3 linked regions of the Saccharomyces cerevisiae S288C genome follow. The gene in region 1 interacts genetically with each later gene. Each region holds a gene or a part of one and is shown in the gene's direction. Other genes may lie near its edges. The genes, in order: BNI4, RGL1 and RGD1.

Region 1 (3,837 bases):
AAAACTCCGTAGGCAAAAGGGGCATCGGAAAAACCTCTTCAAAAAAAAAGGTTTTTAGGCTCGAACGAGCCGGAGCAATAATGTTCCTTTGAAAAATAGCAATCGTTATGCAACCATTTTATATGAGTCTGCCCCTCAAGGGACTCGCCACCGGACCGCTGCAGTTGTTTGCATTCATCCACATATAAGCTGGTTGTGTATGACAGGAGAAAAAATACTTCATTCGCAGTTGTTAACCAACAGCGACATGTCTAGCGGGAATGTCCACCATACGAAACCGATGATGTACAACGTAACCCTGCCTTCCTACAACAGCAGTAGTATAGGTCCAGTCGATAATTTGAAAATAAACGAGAGACCTGGCTCTCATGATCATTCCATGAGAAGTGAAATGTCATCCAAAAACTCCGGAAGCGATTTTATGCCACAATCTATTTCACGTTCCGAAGGTAGTGTCTACCAGGTCAAGATAGATCGTGGTGACTCCCCGAATACAGAAGGATTCGACTTTAAAGTTAATGCAAGAGATCTGCTGTTACTTCGAATGTCCTGGGATATCCTCCTCAGGGAGTATTTAACACCTAAAGAATTAAAAGTTTTTCAAGCACTTCTGTATTCCAATAAACATATTACTTCAACAGAAAGACCCTATTTGAATACTGCTCCTGACGGTATGATTTCCAAAACTATTGACCCTACTGCCAGGCCACGTAAAACAAAACAAAGGGACAATGATAACAAGGTTGATACTGCACTATTTTGTTCACAGTTTTATGACAATTTGATTGCAATGGATCCCTTGTTAGAAGAATATTTTCCATCATTAAAACATCAAGCAGTTTCGTTCTGTAAGGTCCTTGATTCTGCTATTGACAACCTTGAAAACGTTCATGTCCTAGATGATTATATTGTGAAATTAGGAAAACGCCATTCCAGAATTCTCGGCATCAAAACCGTTGGTTTCGAAGTAATGGGAAAAGCATTTATGACTACATTGCAGGACAGGTTTGGATCTTTTCTCACACTGGAACTCAAAAATCTATGGGGACAACTTTACTCATATTTGGCAAATTGTATGATTACTGCAGGGAAGGACCCAATGGAAAAGATTCAACCAGATTTTTCGTATAATGGTGACTCTGTGGTTTTAAATTTTTCCATTCCCAAACTTGCGATGCATGATATAAGTACAGTTAACAAGCTACAAATGGTGAAAACTAAAAACGCTACTATACCTCATAATATAACACAAGTACCGACAAATAAAATTCCTACAGAAATACTCTTAGACAATTCTTCTACTCCAATAAAAAGCGACCGTGAATCGACGCCTCCAATCTCACCAAAGGGCTCTGGAAGTACAAAACCAAGCATCGGTAGCAGTACCGTCGTGGAAAGTAATACCAAGAAAAATAATTATGATGAAAAAATCCATTTATTGCAAAAAACTGCTCAGCAGAAGAACTGCTCGATTATGTAACTACAACCGTACCATTAAGTGTATAAGTTTCCCAGGTTATATTATATATTCTTTAGATCACTGCCTGTTCTTTATTACCCGCGAGCTAATCTTTGTCTTATATAGGCGCGTCAGCGGAGACGCGTCAAGTCAACTTCTCTCTTCTATCGTCCCGAGTATGAAAAATCATTTCAGATTCGAAGAAATCAGATTGGCTTTATATCTTCTTTAGAACAAGACGTGTAATATTCTCACACTTAGAGTTGACCCCCTCAAGTTCGCTTATTAGTACAGGTTTTGACTTTGCAAATAAACAACAGGAAAAGCGACTCAAATAAATTGACAAAGAAATCTCAACAACCAGAGTGCAAAAGCCGTACGAGCAGCGTTTTTATTAATAACGATATATCACTACGTATTCAACAGAATATGTCGGATAGTATTTCAGATTCAAAGTCCTCAGAACTTTTAAATTCTACTTTTTATTCGTCGACGTCGATAAATACACTTGATCATGCTAGAACCTTTCGAAATTCTCTGATATTGAAGGAGATATCAGATCAAAGTCTAAATTCATCAATAAAGCCATGCGAATCCGTCCTTGATAGGGATGTTGAAAGCTCAGTTCTGCAGCGGTCGTTTGGAGAAAGTAATGCCCGAGACTCAGAAGTACAAACGGTAAATATGACAACTTCCCCCTCATTAAGTGCATTGGCTGATATTCTGAACGAAAGATCCAAATATGCTGACCAAAAAACTAGAAAGGCACAAAATATTGAGTCTTCCATAATAGAAGAAGAAGAAGAGGCCGAAGAGCAAAACAACTCGATCAATTATCACGAGGATATAACTGGATCCAGGCTGTCTGTACGAGAGGAAGCAAATGAAAACTTGGCGATGACCTCTCCAAACCTTATTGACATTGACGGATCCAATAGTATTCAAGTTGCCCCTTTGAGTTTACCGTCTTTCGAAGAACCTGACTTTTTGTCCACTCCTAGAGTAAAACCTGATTCTCAGGGACCTCGGAGCAAAGTTAGTACACGACGTACTATTCTCGAACGAGACAACAATTTACCAGTTAAGCGGGAGGAAAATACTATCATTAATTCAGAAACTGAAAGCACAACACATAGCGCACCATTTTTAAAAGAGGATCCGAAACCCTCGCCTCCTTCGAGTAAATTATACAACCCAAAAGTTCGTTTAAACAAAGCAGAAGCGCGAAAGTATACTGATTCTTCTGCCCAAAGGACTACTTCAGCAGGCTCGGTACTTGAAGACACTTCTATGCATAAAAAGAAAAAGAGTATATTTTCATTTCTGAAGAAGAAAGAACCGAAACCAGTTATTGGTAATAATAGTGTAACGAATGAAAAAAATAAGATGTCTTCATCGAGCACTTTCTCAATGAATATTCAAACCTCTTTAAAAACGCCTGAAAAACTAAAGAAGAAGTCTCACAGTAGCAGTAGCATTTTCAATTCCTTCCTAAAGGGAAAAATTGAAACATCAGACTCACCTCGAAAGGAACCAATGAGGCAAAAAAAAAGAACCCCAAAATCCAAGGACAAAAAGCAAGATACTGAACAAATAATTGACGCCGCATCAGTGTTATCCACTGAATCACCTCTACTACGAAAAAACCACGACGATACTCCCGTGAAAATAGATCACGTAACGAGATCAATTGATCAGAGAAAACCTACTCCTTTAAACATGGATCTCATATTGGGAGGTGATAAACAGATAAATACCCCGCTACAAGAACACGTAAGAGAAGATGATGATGCCAAAAATGATCTTCAATTACCAACCAAGGATAATTTTTTATCACTGGACTACGAAGCACCCTCACCAGCATTTTCCAAACACGATACAGGTGAGGTTCTTTTCCCAAAATTTTTGGATAATCATGAAGTCGACTCGATCGTTTCTTTAGAAAGAACAAGATCTACAAAGTCTAACAAGAGAAGTTCAATGAACTCGCAAAGAAGGTCATTGACAGATACGCTATCGATCAAAGCGCAAAGTGAGGGAATGTTCATCACTGAGGCATCTTCTGTTGTATTATCTACTCCAGACTTGACGAAGTCTCCTGCTAGCAGCATTTTAAAGAATGGAAGGTTCGAATACTCAGATAATTTCTCCAGAGAACACTCTTACGAAGGTACCACGAATGAGGACTTTTTAGATATCAAGGACGATAGTGGTCCACTAAAAAAAGATGACATATTTTTAGAGTCTATTGAACAAAAATTTGACCAGCTAGTGATGGCCTCTGATGAAGAAAAAACTGAAGTTGAAAGGGATGTACCAAAACCAAGAGAAGAACCTCTGAAGAAGGATTCTGAAAGGCAAAGCGTTTTTGCAGATGA
Region 2 (3,600 bases), on another chromosome or scaffold:
GCTATTAAGTGTCAGCGAATTCGCCGTAGTTTGCAACGCTGTGTTGTTTGTATGGCAATTGTTATTATATACTTCCAAATTAATCAAATCTACCAGGTTAATAGAATGCAAATTCGCTATCTCATGGATGATGTCATTGTGGTAGGCAGTGCCGCTGTGACTGGGGTGGCTAAATGGAGGTTTCCTCTCAGCTAGCATTTTTTTCAATTTGTCTGAGTGCGCTTGAGAGGAGGCCTTTAATTTGGAAGTAGTGACTGGTCTTGTCTTCGAGTCACTGTTTAATTGCTCGAATGAATATAATAGGTTTACGATGTTTTGTAGGAGTTTTAGATCATTGGGCAGCCTTAACATTTCGAAATTTTTCAAGCCGGCGAGAGTCGGCTTATGTATATCTTTATAAAATAATCTTTGTTGTCTTTTGATGAGATTGGACAAATTTTTCTGAACTTCCAATACAGAGATCTTTTCGGGATCATCATCAGGTGAAGATAGGCTGGCGCTATTGTGGAATTTAGGGCGCTGCAGAGGCTTAGGTATTATTATATTTGAGGTGCCCAGTGTTGTGGTTGTGGCTCGAATAGCTGGACTAACCATGTTTTGTGCGACTACTTTACGCTTCTTAGGGACAATAATGGATGGTACCGCTGCCGTTGTGGTTGAAGGAGGATCGGACGTCTGATTTCTCCCTGAATAGTCAACCCTTTTTCTTTTCCTGAGTTGCATATGCATATTATATTGTATGTGCTTGTGTAGGTAGAAGCGTCTTTTATTTATCTACTGTCTCATCAGCTCATCGCATCATTAATACCAGTATCGGTTATAGTACATAATTAACAAATGTATGTAGCATTTTGGCATGCTGAAAAAAAAAAAAAAAACTTTATCAGGCAAGTGGCTCGAAACCGTGTGAAAGGATATCATCAACGGTCGTTTTTACCTGTTCCGCGGAATAGCGTTCCCGTGGGAAGAAAAGCAGCACGTGAGCGTGGAAAATCCGGGCAACACTTTGTAGTTCCGGGTAGTTGACAAACCAGGCCACGTGACCCGAGCTTAGAAGTGGACGCAGTAGCGGCTGTGCCTGCAAAAATGCATTCATGCGAGCGCGGGCCGCTTCGCGCACGGCCTTATCTGGGGAATGTACTGGCAGGGCAACCTTGGACCAGAGAACAAGGTGTACAACACCAGGCTCGAAGTTATACGGGAAATCGTTGGCACGCACAGCATATAGAGTAGAAGAACTAAAAGCCTTCGCGGCAGCATTTTCGAGCTGCGGTTCGTCTAGCGACCAGCCTAGTTTTTGCAAAACGTACTGGTTCATGTCCAGGCCAGCAGTCCTTTTCTTATGCTCGTGGTATTTGTCAGTCATCTGGCGACTTCGTTTCAAACGGGCAAGCTCCCCCGATTCAATTATCTCTTTGATTTGTTCCCACTTCCACCCTTGGGCCTCCTCCTGGTGATCGTTGACGATATCTTGTTGCATTGTAAACCTAAGCTGTTATAAGTAAATCAAGTGCAATACAAATATATACAGCATGCTGGCGTCCTTAGCCTCACGCCTACTAAACAAGAGCATCTTACTCTCACCATCCATTTATATACATATATAAGTACGTAAAAATAGATGTGTATAAGTCGTTCTATCTATAACGCGCCCCGAAGTTGTTTAGTATAACAAAAACGGAAAAAAAAAGAAGGAAAATGGAGATTGCCAAAAGCGCGCTAGTTTGACAGAAAGAGTGAAATATTAGTTCAATATTTCAGCTGTCACGGTCATCACTGCTCCGACACTTTTTTGTGGGATGCTTTCTGTTCACCTTGGTTTTCTATGGGTATATAACAGCTGATAAAGAATCGAAGAAGTGAAAATGACGCACCCAGTTATATCACTAAAGCCAAGCTACAATTCTGTAATACGGGGCTGCCCCGGTTTACCTGATACGTTACCACGAATCGAATGCCAGTTAAGAGTGCGCTCAAACAACTCTTTGCCATTCAAATTGGTAAAGATCGAAATTGTTTTAAAGACAATTGAAATATATTTCAACAAAAACCTTTATAGCAGCAATAACAGCTCTTTCACCCCATTTAATCGTCCGTCGGACCCCTCTAATGGCCATTCTGACACCAGTAACCAGAACATCAGCATTCATTATAAGAAAAACATCGTGTTATCCCACCCTACCCATGATGGCGACGATCTCAACAATGATCTTATTGGCATAGACATACCTTTGACGATTGGGCTACCTGACGACATCAAAGAAACAAACTATAATCCGAAATTCGGCAAAACGCAGACTTTCCTGGATTGTACCGTGTTTTATACAGAGGTCGGCGGAGGAAGCTCAAATAAGAAAAGAAATTTTCTTTACCCAGTAAACGTCGAAAGGTATACATACCTACCTTCACCGTCATATTTCAGGCCAATAAACAGATCAAACATCACTTCTCCCGATCAAAAGTTCTTAATTAGTTATTCCATTGAGAATCCCTGTGTTTCTATGAATAATGACACGTTGAAACTCTCCATATCAATCAGGCTGAACCCATTTCCGAACAATGCCACAACTCCCTCTTCGAATGACTTTGATGTGTCCACGCCGACACTTTTCTCCACAAAGAAAAAGTTTAAGTCCAAGCTCAAATTGAAATCAATTACAACACAGATACTAGAATACTTGGAAATTCTGAAGAACCAATCAGAATTCTCATCCACGCAAACAACAAATATTTTGCAAACCTCTGTAAGACAGGTTGATCAAATCATCTCCATGAATTCAATGATTTTTCAATTCAACCTAAAAATATTCACTAAGGACAAAATTTTACAAAGCTTTAGATCTTCTGAGTCGAGTTGTCCCGAAACTAAAGTATTAATCAACAAAATCGACGACATTCCTCTGCAATATCATAGTTCGATAACTACGATAGGTCAACATTTTAATGTTTCTCACTATCTTTCAATAAGGTTCAAATTCAATAAAAGTCTGAAAAACTTCGAAATTAATCACCCCCTAATCATATCGTTTTGGTCAGTAAGTCAATTGCCGCTAATCGAGAACCTAATATTGCAAGAAAGACAAACTGCTAAATTTGCCAAGAAGTTTTATAAAAATTTTGGTCGAATCAAGAACACGAGCAACAACAATAACAGCTCGAACTGTCTAGAGTATCCCTCCTTGCCGCCAATAATTTATAATTTTAACGACCCAGAAACAAATAATAGATTTAATATATTATACTCGCAAAAGGACCCTAGTCGTACGGATCCTTCTAAATTGAGAAGAGTACCTGTCATACAATGAGGCAGTGATTGGCATGGTTCATATATTAAATCAACGCAGATACGTAGATCTATAAAGCTTTTGAATAATGCTAATGTATTATATATTTATATTCTTCTTGTCCCGCACTCTGGTCTTTTCAATTTTCTACATGAAGAGAAAAAAAGACTATAGCGTCCGGCAAAAAAAAAAAAGTTATGGTTTAACAATACAACGGCCCCATGGGTTTAAAATAAGGGCACTTTCATAAAGTCACTTATCACTCAAAAGCACCCATGCAAAAACACAATATAAAATTAAACCAAAACCAGGATAT
Region 3 (3,837 bases), on another chromosome or scaffold:
TTAATGGTTGAACATTAACTCCCCACTTGGCAGGGTCTAATCCGTACAGTTCCAGAGCTCTTGCTTGACACAAGGATTCGGACTTATCGATGATTTCGTTACCTCCGTAGTATCTTTCACCTGGATAACCTTCAGAATACTTGTTTTGGAGCTCAGAACCTAGCAAATCCATAACGGCCTTCGAGGTGAAGTTTTCTGATGGGATAAGGGTGATAGAGTGTTTTTGTCTGTGACGTTCTTGTTGCAAGATGTCAAACATCTCTGGATCTCCCTCCGAGACTGGTTTGGAGACTAGCGATTGTGCACCACTGGTGAGTAGCCCACGACGATGAACAGTTGCCATACATTTGGCCAATGCAGAAGCTCTGGGAAACATGATTGAAAGACTATGAGACTCGATGTGGAAATGTCGGCTTGATGATTTTTGATAGTTTGCTCTTCTCCAAGAGGCGATGGCTTTTAGTATTTTTTTTCTCATTGACCACCAATAAGCGAAGTACCTAAAAAAAAATAATGAGTCTTTTTTATATTCTATCTCTTGGACAGAAGGGGGACAGAACAGACAGTGGACTAAGAACCAGCAGATAACGGAGAGAATCATGTCGAAATTGGGTCCGTTAGCAAGATCTGTGAAGTGGACTCTCTCTGTGGGAGTAATCGGTTCTGTTTTTTACCTGTACCGATACAGTAACAATGGCTACTTCTACGATCACGATGCTACATGGTTGAAACAAGATCATCAGGTACAGGACCTGGTGGATAGAAAAGAAGTGGTACCTGGGGAGACCAGGAACCGCAAGCTAGTTGTGACGGATGATGGCACTGCATGGAGCAGGACCATGGGGGAGAGCATAAAAGATATTTGGAATGAACAGATAAGAAACTCTGTCGATTGGATCTACTCCTGGGGTAAGAATTAGCGAGCTTTCTATTTCTCCTACTGTAACGAACATCCTCATGTATATAACCTATTGTAACGACTCTGTGTAGAACTTTATATTCAGAAAAAATATCAAAAGAAAAATTTAATTATTAATCAGTACTTTTCACTCTGGTAATGTGCATCGGTGTCAAGAGCATCTCCAAGAAAGAATACATAAACAACAACGATGGACGTGCCTGCAGATTCCCATATCAAATACGAAGATGCCATCGACTATTGGACGGATGTGGACGCCACTGTGGATGGTGTTCTAGGTGGATACGGAGAAGGTACAGTAGTACCCACAATGGATGTCCTGGGATCCAATAACTTCCTGCGTAAACTGAAGTCGAGGATGCTGCCTCAGGAGAACAACGTGAAGTACGCTGTAGACATTGGTGCGGGGATTGGACGTGTAAGCAAGACCATGCTTCACAAGCACGCCGCTAAGATAGACCTTGTAGAACCGGTAAAGCCTTTTATCGAGCAAATGCACGTTGAATTGGCTGAGCTGAAAGACAAAGGCCAAATTGGACAAATATATGAAGTAGGGATGCAGGACTGGACCCCCGATGCCGGCAAGTACTGGCTGATCTGGTGCCAATGGTGCGTGGGACACCTGCCAGATGCAGAACTCGTCGCATTCCTGAAAAGATGTATTGTTGGTTTGCAACCTAATGGGACAATCGTGGTCAAAGAAAATAACACACCTACAGATACCGATGATTTCGACGAAACGGATTCTTCGGTCACAAGGTCAGATGCTAAGTTCAGGCAAATCTTCGAAGAAGCTGGCCTAAAGCTCATCGCCAGTGAAAGACAACGTGGCTTACCAAGAGAATTGTACCCAGTGAGGATGTACGCACTCAAGCCCATGCCAAACTAGGATCAAGGATGCATAGATTTATATAGATACGCCCCTTTTCTTGTGCTGGCATTCACCATTTGTGCCATTATATAGACTTTTTTTTCGATATATATGGAAAAAGAACCCAGAAAATAAAGAATGTGAACAAAATAGTATGTAAAGTAAAAACATACAATCTCGGAAGATTAAAAGAGAAGTGATATAGACAAGATGGAAGAGACTGCGAAGAAACCAGCTAGTGCCACAGTAAGTGCGAAGTCGTCGCACGATGGTGGCACCGACGATTTGGCGCACCTTTTTAGCACGCCAGAGATCAAGAAGGTGCTAAATTCCGATGTGGCAATTAACGCTTTGTTGAGCCGTTTAAAGCAGTCGTTGTTGACTTGTGAAGAGTTTATGAAATTTATTAGAAAGAAATACGCCTTCGAAGAAGAGCACGTTCAGGAGCTCTCCAAGCAATATAAGCACTTTTTCAACATTCAGGGTTCCACAAATTCATCCTTAAAAAAGATGATTCACGAAGTTTTGGGATTCGATGGCAAGATGGCTCAAGTAAAGCAGAGTTATATCACCGCCTTGCAGAAAATGTACTCCGAGATTAGTAGTCTTTTATTAACAATGACAAAATTAAGAAAGTCTGTCAAGGAGAACAGCAAAAGGCTGGAAAAGGATGTTTCTGATGCCATACACAGCGCAGAAAAGGCGCAATCTCGTTACAATTCGTTGTGCCAAGATTGGGACAAATTGAGGATGACTGACCCAACAAAAACAAAGCTGACCTTGAGAGGTTCCAAAACTACGAAGGAACAAGAAGAAGAATTGTTAAGAAAAATCGATAACGCCGATCTGGAATATAAGCAAAAAGTAGATCATTCTAATTCTTTGAGAAACACATTCATAACGAAGGAGAGACCTAGAATTGTTCAAGAATTAAAAGATTTGATTTTAGAAATAGACACAGCGATGACTATCCAATTGCAGAAGTACACGATATGGACGGAAAATTTGGTTCTGAATACAGGTGTTACAATAAGCCCATTGGACTCCACCAAATCTATGAAATCATTTGCTGGATCTGTTTCCAATGAACGTGATCTTTACAGTTTTTTGAACAAGTATAACCAAACAGGAAAACATTCCCTACTGATCAACAAAAACTTGATCCCTGTATCATACAAAAAGCATCCATCAATGAATCATGGTCAGAAAAATAAGAGCCCCCCAAAGTTTGCCGTGGACCCTTCAAGAAACTCCATCCCGAAGAGAATGATATCCACTCATAATGAATCTCCATTTTTGAGCAGTAGTAGTAACACTGCCGCTGTTCCGAATGCTAATCTTAACAGTGCTACACCGTCCTTAAATACCAACAAGCAGTTACCACCTACTATGGCTTCATCTATTTCTTCCACTAGCAATGCGGCTGGCGCTATGTCACCGTCTTCTTCCATTGTAACAAGCGACACCACATCATCCATAACAAAGACCCTGGATCCTGGCAACAATAGTCCACAAATTCCAGAAGAATTGATTAACTCTTTAGACTCGGATCGCCCGATTTCTCACATTCAGACTAACAACAATATGCCACCCGGTGTTCAAAAAAATTTCAAAACATTTGGTGTACCGCTAGAATCACTGATAGAATTCGAACAAGACATGGTCCCTGCGATAGTGCGCCAATGCATATACGTTATTGATAAATTTGGGCTTGATCAAGAAGGAATTTATAGAAAATCGGCAAATGTACTTGATGTCAGCAAGTTGAAGGAGGAAATTGATAAGGATCCCGCAAACATTTCCATGATTCTACCATCAAAGCCACATTCTGATTCGGATATTTATTTAGTAGGATCACTGCTGAAAACTTTTTTTGCGTCGCTGCCTGATAGTGTTTTACCAAAGGCCCTATCATCGGAGATCAAGGTTTGTTTACAAATTGAAGACCCAACAACAAGAAAAAATTTTATGCACGGACTAATATATAACCTCCCCGACGCACAATACTGGACGTTAAGGGCTCTTGTCTTTCATTTGAAAAGAGTGT

What was found.
Region 2: mutations in BNI4 (region 1) and RGL1 impair growth when combined (synthetic growth defect), as found in Saccharomyces cerevisiae (4 studies listed by BioGRID, with this or other methods).
Region 3: mutations in BNI4 (region 1) and RGD1 impair growth when combined (synthetic growth defect), as found in Saccharomyces cerevisiae (4 studies listed by BioGRID, with this or other methods).

What each region holds. Positions count from the first base shown.
Region 1 is NC_001146.8:210,034-213,870, forward strand, and holds the start of BNI4 (Bni4p), read left to right. Parts: upstream 1-1,888; coding exon 1,889-3,837. Other genes in the region: YNL234W (uncharacterized protein), read left to right, coding at 200-1,480.
Region 2 is NC_001148.4:424,368-427,967, forward strand, and holds RGL1 (Rgl1p), read left to right. Parts: upstream 1-1,865; coding exon 1,866-3,305; downstream 3,306-3,600. Other genes in the region: YPL068C (uncharacterized protein), read right to left, coding at 1-729; HTC1 (Htc1p), read right to left, coding at 884-1,480; ESCRT-I subunit protein VPS28, read left to right, coding at 3,560-3,600. UniProt on the Saccharomyces cerevisiae protein: Regulator of RHO1 signaling that acts as a cofactor required for the efficient localization of the TUS1 GTP exchange factor (GEF) for RHO1 to the bud neck during all phases of cytokinesis.
Region 3 is NC_001134.8:732,803-736,639, reverse strand, and holds the start of RGD1 (GTPase-activating protein RGD1), read left to right. Parts: upstream 1-2,000; coding exon 2,001-3,837. Other genes in the region: glycine hydroxymethyltransferase SHM1, read right to left, coding at 1-376; MIC12 (Mic12p), read left to right, coding at 600-920; TAE1 (N-terminal protein methyltransferase), read left to right, coding at 1,110-1,808.